2 linked regions of the Canis lupus familiaris genome follow. The protein of the gene in region 2 interacts with the protein of the main gene of each other region in a biochemical or structural test. Links are inferred from orthologs where the notes say so. Each region holds a gene or a part of one and is shown on either strand. Other genes may lie near its edges.

Region 1 (4,112 bases), on a different chromosome or scaffold from region 2:
TAACTTAGTAATAAGGCCATGTAAATGGTTATTGCAGGGCAGGTGCTTAAGTATGCATGTAGCTTATATGAACACACTTGATCCTTACAAAAATCCAATGTGATAGCTACTATGTTTAGCCCCCTTTTTATAGCCAAGGACATGGAGGCATAGAGTTTAGTTATTTGCCCAAGATCAAGAAGTAACTCAGAATTAAGTCCCGGGCACTCTGCCTCCAGAACAGGTGAGCTTGCCTACCAGGCTACACTCTCTCTGGGAGTGTAATGATTGATAAATGTGAGTTACTCCTTCCCCACCCCGCAAACACTGTGAAGAGAGGTCCCTTGACATTCAAGATTTATTTAACCCCCAAAAAGTAAGTAAAGTCTCTAAGATTGTAACCCAGTGATCTTATGTTTATGTTTTATTTACAAAATCCTTTGAGTAAGATCCTCTTTAATTTTATATCTACCTATCTGTGTCTATCTATGTAGTTTATGTCTCCAAAGACTTTTTAAATAAAGTGTAATCATTTGCAAGTTGCAGGGTGGAGAGAAATCCCAGAAATAGTGTTTCAGTTTCAGACCAATTCCTTTTTTTTTTCAGACTAATTCCTATTTAAAAACCTTTTAAATGAAAAGTGGTGCTTGAGATTCATTAAGTGTAACAAATGAATATCTGCTGATCAAAGTATTTTTGCTTTCAAAAGACATATATTCGCTTTTTAAAAGAATTGGTTAAAGTCAATGATGCATTTAAATGCTGGTTCCTGGAATTCTCAAATACTCCTTAAGCAGGGGGAGGGAGGGAGGGAGGGAGGTCTTTTGTTTGTTTGTTTTAAACAGGAACACAGGGCAGCCCAGTGGCTCAGCAGTTTAGCGCCGCCTTCAGCCCAGGGCCTGATCCTGGAGACCTGGGATCGAGTCCCATGTCGGGCTCCCTGCATGGAGCCTGCTTCTCCCTCTGCCTGTGTCTCTGCCTCTCTCCCTCCCTCCCTCTTTCTCTCTCTCTCTCTGTGTCTCTCATGAATAAATAAATAAAATCTTGAAGAAAAAAAAAAAACAGGAACACAACCTGTCCTTGGTAAGCAAATTGGAAGAAATTGATGCTCTGCTCTGAGGACAGAGAGAAGAAAGCACAAAACTGGGCATCTCTCCTCAATCCCATAAATGCAATGCAATCAATGCATTTTCAAAGTCCTTGCATGAACCGGACGTCCCATCCTTCTGCAGTGTTCAATGTCGCCCTGGCCTTGTTTTGAATTTGGTCACGAGGAAGGACAGAGCGTGCTTATCCGGATTGTTCAAGCAGTGGGCTACGGGTATTCCTTCTGCGTCTCTTTTGAACTGTCAGAACTTGGCTCAGATCACCTCAAACAAAACACTACATATTGTTTATAGTAATTTATGGACAAGGAAATCTGGTTGCATTTGGTTCCTTTTTTACTTTTTTATGAAGAGAAGCAGGCAGGTTTGACTTTTTTTTTTTTTTTTTTTTTTAACTTTGCTTCGCTTTTACCTGCCTGTGAATCCCTGCTCATCTGGTTGGTGTATTCTTCTACAAGGACAGACTTTCTGATAGTAAGAACTGCAGAGCCTTTGTGGCTCCTTTCTAGAAAGGGAGTAGCACCTTCCTGGTCCTCCCAAGAGGCAGGGAGGGATATGGGCTGGATGGATGCATTTCGGCTTGCGGTCCTCCCCAGCTACTGCTCCCTGTCTAGTCAGTGCTTGGAGACACCGTCAGAAAGACACACTTACCCTCTGTTCATCTCCCCAACCACAGCCACCTTAAACCTGTTTTCGAAGTCAAAGCCATAGGACACACCTGTTGCGATCACAGTCTGCAAAGTTGCAAATTGCCCAAGTTAGAAATTTGAGATAAAACTCGCAGTCTTCTTAGATCAGAATCTCAAGCCCAGGCTTTGCTACTCTTGAAAAAAGTCCTGAGGCCATTCTCCTGTGCCACCAGAGTTAAGGACCGCAGCCCAGAGTTAAGGACCGCAGCCCTGAGGGGTCTGCCAACCTTTCTGAGGCCTTGCTCTCTGTGCCGTCCTCATCGCAAGTGGAGAGGATGAACCTCAAGTCACCAGGGGAAGTCATTAATTCAGTACAAAGAGAAAGCCATGCTAAATCTCACACCCAGAAACTGCAGAGATGGCATCTGCCCCACTAAAACTTCCTGATTTGCAAGTGGTGAAGGGTTTGTGACATAGAAACAGGAGACTAGTGAATTATGAAAGAGAGTCTTAAGATGATCAGTTACCATGATGAGTTCAATGGGGATGGGCACTGGAAGTTTGGCTTTGTAGCGCTGATTTATTTCTTTAACCACAAAAACAACCAGGAGGATAATCAAGGATGTCACAAGGTCTGCAATATTAGTCTTCTCTATTTGTGTGAATACGGAATTCAGTACCTAAAATTATAAAAGTGAAAAACAGCCAAGTGCTATATTTTTTTTCTTTCTTTTTAAGAACCTCTTTTGTTTTTACTTTTTACGACCTCCCCCCACCCCCATTTGAGTATAGTTGACACACAATATTAGTTTCAGGCGTACAATATAGTGATTCGACATCTCTAGACGTTATGCTGTGCTCATCACAAGTGTAGCTACCATATGTCACCATGCAAGTCTATCACCATGTCATTGACTATACCCCCTATGCTGTGCCTTTATTACCGTGACATATTTATTCTATAACTGGACTGTATCTCCCACTCCCCTGTACTCACTTTGCCCAAACCCTCCACCCCCTCACCCCTCTGGCAACCATCAGTTTGTTCTCTGTATTTATAGGTCCGATTCTACATTTTGTTTGTTCGTTTATTCATTTGTGTTTTTTTTCCCCAAGTGCTCTATCAATGTATAATTTGGATGCAATACTTGATTATTTCCAAACAGATTAAAAGAAACATTGAGGCAAGAAGGACTGACATAGATGGAAGAGTGATTATTCTGTGTATGTTATCCATGAATGAGTAATTGTAGACGCTAACATGGAGAGATGAGAAGGGTAAGTGAGCACAGCACTGGCACCACGTTCGTTTAGAGTTGCTTTTGGCATTTTTACTGGGAATCTCCTTGGCTGGTGTCGAAATTCCCTGGATACTTTTCACATATTTACAACTGGTGTCTCCTGCTCTTAAGTCTCGTGGGCCATTATTTTACAGTCAGCATCATTGCTATATCCAGAGAATAACCTCTGTTCCCTGATAATTTTCTTAGCATGTATCTCCTTAATTCCCGGCCTTTATTTTTATTTTTTAGGTTAATACCTTTCACAGTTCTTAGTTTATTCTCTGTGCCACTTTTGGAAATTTGTTTCCTGGCTAATGGTACACTGTTTATGATCTTAATTTTTGAAGCTAGTTGGATTCCATATCCATGGGATCTGATAGCTCCAGTAGGCCCAAACTGGATCTCAGATTGTTCTTTGAACACTCCACTTCTAGACTAGCTCTGGATGGGAGTGAGAGAGTGTTGGTTCTGATATGGAGCAAACGCTGTCTCAATTCTCAAAGACTGTCTTGATAGAAGCACCAATAAGTTCGAAATTGATAAAAGGAAGGAGATAACAAAGATCAGAGTGGAAATTAATGATATAGAGACTAAAAGGACAATAGAAAAGATCAATGAAACTAAGAACTGATTTTTGAAAAAGAAAAATAAAACAGGCTAACCTTTAGCTAGACTCAGCAAGACAAAAAGAGGGAACTCAAAGTCAGAAGCACTACGAACACTGTCGTTCTGCAGCACATCCTCTGGAAGAGGGAAGAACCACTGTCCTATTACGTTTTGGCTAATTTCCTTTTGCTTTATAAACAGGGAACCATAAAAGAGTCGGAAGAACCTCACTTTTAAAAGAACAAGGCCTGCTTTTTAGAAATAGGGAAACTATCACTCGTTGGCACATTTCTTTCACAATAAGATTTTGAGGAGATTTTTGAATAATGGGACAGGATAGTAAAGCCTTTAATAGTGAACTTCGATTTTTTTCTTTTAAATAATGCTTAAGAGTCAAATCTCAGAGACATGATGCTTAATTTGCATTGTTCGAATTAGCCGGATGGTAGGTGTGGTTGATATTTAGTGTACTTCTTTGGGTCACTGATTTTTTTGTTAATGTGACTAAA
Region 2 (4,603 bases):
GAAGCCAGGGTGTCCCTCTGCGCAGCCTGCCGTACCTTCTGGCCCGCCTCGGAGCTGAGGTTGCTTGCACGTGCCCAGTCCGGCTTCGGCTCCCAGGGGTCATGGGTGGGCGGAAGCCCTCGCTGGGCCATCTCCTCTGTGCAGGTCAGCTGCCGCCGGCGGAGCTCCTCGTCCGTCTCTTTGTCCACCACCAGCAGCCGAGTCTGTCCTTCCACAGCCTTGATTCTCTGCACCACCTGGGCCGGGCAGGTGGGGAAGGAGGCAGGTCAGCCGTCAGCACTCGGGGCAGCACATGGACAGTGGCACTGCCCAGGCCTGGCCCAGGATCGCGGACAGGCGGTTGGCCTACCAGGGGTGGGCGGCTGGACCGAGAGGCCCGCGGGCCCCGCCCCCCACCCCCAGGGCTGCGGCCGCTCCCTCCCTCTTCACCCAGGGCTCCTGACACAGGGCGGCAAGGGCTACAGGGTCACTGCAGGGACTGGCCTCAGTCCAGGGTCTTGTCCGGGAGAGGCCGGGAGGCTGGGGGAGGCAGCTGGTCTGGAAGATGGTGTGCGGCCAAGCCTCGGGTTCTCAGTGTGTGAGCGTGTGAGCGTGTGTGCACATGTGCATGTGCGTGCATGTGCGTGCGTGTGCGCACGGCTGTGTGTGCTGCGTGCAGCCATCTGTGTCGGGGTCTGTGTCTCAGTCTGGGTGAGGGAGCGAGGGGTCTCTCTAGGTCCCAGTCTGGGTGTGGCTGCGCTCCCTGCCGTTCTTCTCCGTCATCAAGTGTGGATGTCTAAACCCCTGCCTCCGGGTCTCCCGTTTGCCTCTAGACCACGAACACCTGTGCCTGGTTCCTGTGGCGTGGCACCTGCTCAGGCACCACACGCGACCTGGTGAGCAGGGTCCAGACTGGCAGGGGGAGGCCACCTGTGGGACAAGTGTGGCCTTGGGGTCATCTGCCTGTCTGTGCCGGGTCTGTGAAGTCTCTAGAGCACGTGGGTGACCATGGAGCACGCATGTCAGGGTGCACCCTGCAGGGAGGAGCAGCCGTGCCCACTGGGCATTGGGGTAGGAAGGACAAGACCCCCGCCCCCACCACGTCTTGGGGGAGGGTGGAGAGGGCCCCCATCAGCCGCTCGGCAGAAGCTGTCAACAGATAGGAGAGTGAGAACCAGGCTGTCCTCCCGGTGGCCCTCCCCTGCCCCCCCCCGCTTGGTGAGAGCCAAGGAGGACCCTAGCTCCCTGCTGCTTCCTGGCTGTGGGACCCAGGCTAGACACCTGATATCTGAAAGTATCAGTTTCCTCATCTGTAAAATGGGAGCTGGAACTCCTGGACTAGGAGGCAAAGGTGCCAGCACCCACCTCCTCCCTCCTGAGACAGTGGGGCTCTGTGTGTTAAACCAGCACCTGGGGTCCTGGGAGAAACAGGTGCTCCCGGGGTAAGGGTGGCTGTGACCATTAAACTAAGGCCAGGTGCCACTCTGCCAGCCCCTCCCTGTGGTCAGTCAGGTCAACACCTCTGGCCCACACCCCACCCTCCTTCAGCAAACAGCTTTTTCCAATTGACACTTTAGGTGGAAGACGGAAAGAAGGCAGACAGATGGATAGACAGGGGCCGCAGGGGTGGAAGCAGGAGGGCAGCTGCCGGTCCGGCCAAGAACCAGTTTACGGGTCTCTAGGTCCCAGGGCTGGCCACGCAGACAGGCCACAGGCTCACGGGGGCTGGGGAGGACACAGAGATCCCTGAGCAGAAGGGGTGGGGGGAGGCTGGATTCAAGCCACTGGGAGATAGTCCCCAGGGAGCAGAACCTGCAGCGCAAACCCCGCCCTCCCTCTGCAAGGGGCAGGGGACCGTGGCAGTGGCCCCTGCAGGGCCAGGCAGCCTCCAAGGGGAGCAATGTGCTGCCCCCAGCAGCGACTCTGAGACACCCAGCCAGCGTCAGCCAGGACACACATTAGCACATAGGCCTGCCAACACACATTGGTGACTACACGTAGGCAGGCATGCACACACACACACACACACCCAGGCATGCAGACCTGTATATTCACACACACACACACACACACACACACAGAGTCCGGCATACATACAGAGCCTCGCTCACATGCACCCATCCCCGCATGCAGATCTGTCCACACACGTGCACACACCCAGGGGCGTGGACCTGTATATTCACACGCACAGTCCAGCCCCTGCACACATGAGCACGCACACGCATTCCCTGACACGGGCACCTACAGGTGTGCCCTTACCGTGACGCCCCTCAGGGACACCCCGGCAGATGCGTGCAGCCGAAGGGGACCCCCAGGGGGACTTTACACACCCGTACCCAGCTGGGGACACAAGCACGTGTGTACGCACACGGGAAAGCACCCAGGGCCGCCAAGGCACGGAGACGCCGCCCCCCCCTCCGCCCCCCGCCAAGGCGCCTGCCGCCTCCGCTCCGCGCACACGAGGCCTGGGCAGGACTGAGTGCCAGGGCCCAGCCAGGAGCCGCAGTGCGGGCCCTCCCGCCGGGCTGCCCTGCGCTGCGGAGCCAGCCGCCCGGGTGGGGGCGACGGAGGAGACCGGGCCGCCGACCCCGCGCAGCCCCCGCCGGCCCCCGAGGAGCCCCGCGCCCCCGCCGCGCGCCGAGGCCCGCGCGCAGGGGCCGCCCCGGGAGGGCACCCACCTGGTGGTGCGTCTCGCCCTCCACGTTGACGCCGTTGACCTCGACCAGCCGGTCCCCCGCGCGCAGCGCAGCCGCCTCGGCCGGCGAGCCGGGCTCCACGCGCCGGATGAACTGGCCGCGGCGGCCCTTCTCGCCGTGCAGGTGGAAGCCGTAGCCGTGCTCCCCGCGCACCAGGCGGCACAGGCGCGGCCGCAGCGGCTCCGCGGCTGCCATGGCGCCGGCGGCCCCCCGGCCCACCGCGGACCGGCCACGGCGCCCACGCCCGCGGGGCAGGCACGGGGCGCGGGGGGCGGCACGGAGGACCTGGCGGCGCCCTCGGCGGCTCCCGCTCGGCTCCCGTCGCCTCGGGCTCGGGCTCGGGCTCGGCTGCGGCGCCGCCTCCGCGCCGCCCCTTCCCCGCCTCCTCCGCGGGGCCGCCCCCGCCCCGAGGCCCGGCGTGCCTGGCCCTGCCCTCCGGGGCGCCCCGCCAAGCCCGGGGACTGGGGGGGGGGGGGGGGGGCGGGGCCCAGGGACCCCTCTGCCCCGCCCTGCTCCGGGCAGCCTCCCCGCGCCGCCGCCTTTGCCTCCTAGTCCACCAACATGTATTGAGCACCTACTGTGTGCGGTCGCGAGGCGGGCTCTCGCAGGGGCCGGAGGGAAGGAAAAAATGTCACAGCTCTGCCCAGCACCCTTGGGAACACGCCCTCCCCCCACCACGCTGTCCCCCTATCTGGATCCCTCCTGCACTCAGAGCGGCCCTTGGCCCCACACAGTCCCAAGATGGTCCACGAGGCAAAAAGGGGAGTTTGGGAGTTACAAGGTAGCACCCCCATATTCTAGGGGACTCCGCGGCTCTCCCCGGGAGACCTATGGTGCCTATCTGTGCCCGGGTTTATTAAACACAACCCCCTCCCCCACGCACACCTCTCTGTGCCAGGGCCCCTCACCTGTGCCCCTGCTCATCCCAGAGATGAAATGTACCCTGGACTTTGGCCTCTGCCCTCTGGCTTGTGATCAATGCTCACAGAAGCTGTTCCCATGAGCTGAGGTGGGGGTGGCGGTGATCCCCCTCTGCCCCTCCCTCCATCCTTCTCCTCCCCTAGCATCTAGCCATGCTCAGCGTGAGTTCCCCTTCCCCCAACCCGACAAGAATGGCAGGAGAAAATCTGGTTAAACTCCGTTGTGCCTCTGAGTACACTTTCTCTAGAACATCCCTAGAGTGCTCAGGCCATTTTGCAAATCAAGAAACTGAGCTCTAGGGAGATCCCTGGGTGGCTCCGGGTTGAGCGCCTGCCTTCAGCTCAGGGCGTGATCCTGGAGACCCAGGAATAAATAAAATCTTAAAAAAAAAAAAAAAAAAAAAAAAAAAAGAAAGCAAGAAACTGAGCTCTAGAGAGTCAAGGTTCCCCAGTTCCTCATAGGCACCTCTGTGAGATTCCAAGTCCACACTTTATTTACCATGGGGCTCTTTCTCAGCCTCAGATACAGGAAGACAGCTGACCTGTGGTCTCCCCCTCAGCCTGACCAGCCCCATGGGGGCAGAAGCAGGCTCAGCTCAGGTCCCTTCCTTGCTGCTCCTTCTCCCCTCTCCAGTGCCCTCAGTCTGGGCGCCCAGCCCCCGCCGAAGCACTGGGCTCTCCTCCGGGCAGCCTCCTGGGCCGCAGCCCCTTGGGTGTCCACACCCTGGCTGCTGCCCCTAAAAGCCACTTAAGCCAAGGCTGTATGGCTGCTTCCCCACCCCCACTTTTACGTTCGTGGCTGAGGCTGCCATAGGCTCCTGCCTAGCTGGCCGCCTCCGTCTGTCTGTTTGCCTGTCCAGAGGCTGCCTGTCTGGCCTGTGACTGCCTTTCTGGACCCAAGCTGGTGCTGCTGATCCTGGAAGCTGTGAGGATGGGTGTGGCAGTGAGGTCTAACATATACCCCACATGGGGCTTCCAGGTTACCCCATAGCAACCAAGACCAGCCAG

What was found.
Region 1: the proteins of SLC9A3R2 (region 2) and SLC26A3 form a complex in vitro, tested with the Homo sapiens proteins (2 studies listed by BioGRID and IntAct, with this or other methods). The link is inferred for Canis lupus familiaris from reciprocal best matches to the Homo sapiens genes NHERF2 and SLC26A3.

What each region holds. Positions count from the first base shown.
Region 1 is NC_049239.1:13,058,727-13,062,838, reverse strand, and holds part of SLC26A3 (chloride anion exchanger), read right to left. Parts: intron 2,395-4,112; coding exon 2,242-2,394; intron 1,820-2,241; coding exon 1,737-1,819; intron 1-1,736. UniProt on the Homo sapiens protein: Mediates chloride-bicarbonate exchange with a chloride bicarbonate stoichiometry of 2:1 in the intestinal epithelia. Plays a role in the chloride and bicarbonate homeostasis during sperm epididymal maturation and capacitation.
Region 2 is NC_049227.1:39,357,361-39,361,963, forward strand, and holds the start of SLC9A3R2 (Na(+)/H(+) exchange regulatory cofactor NHE-RF2), read right to left. Parts: upstream 2,964-4,603; 5' UTR 2,871-2,963; coding exon 2,658-2,870; intron 237-2,657; coding exon 36-236; intron 1-35.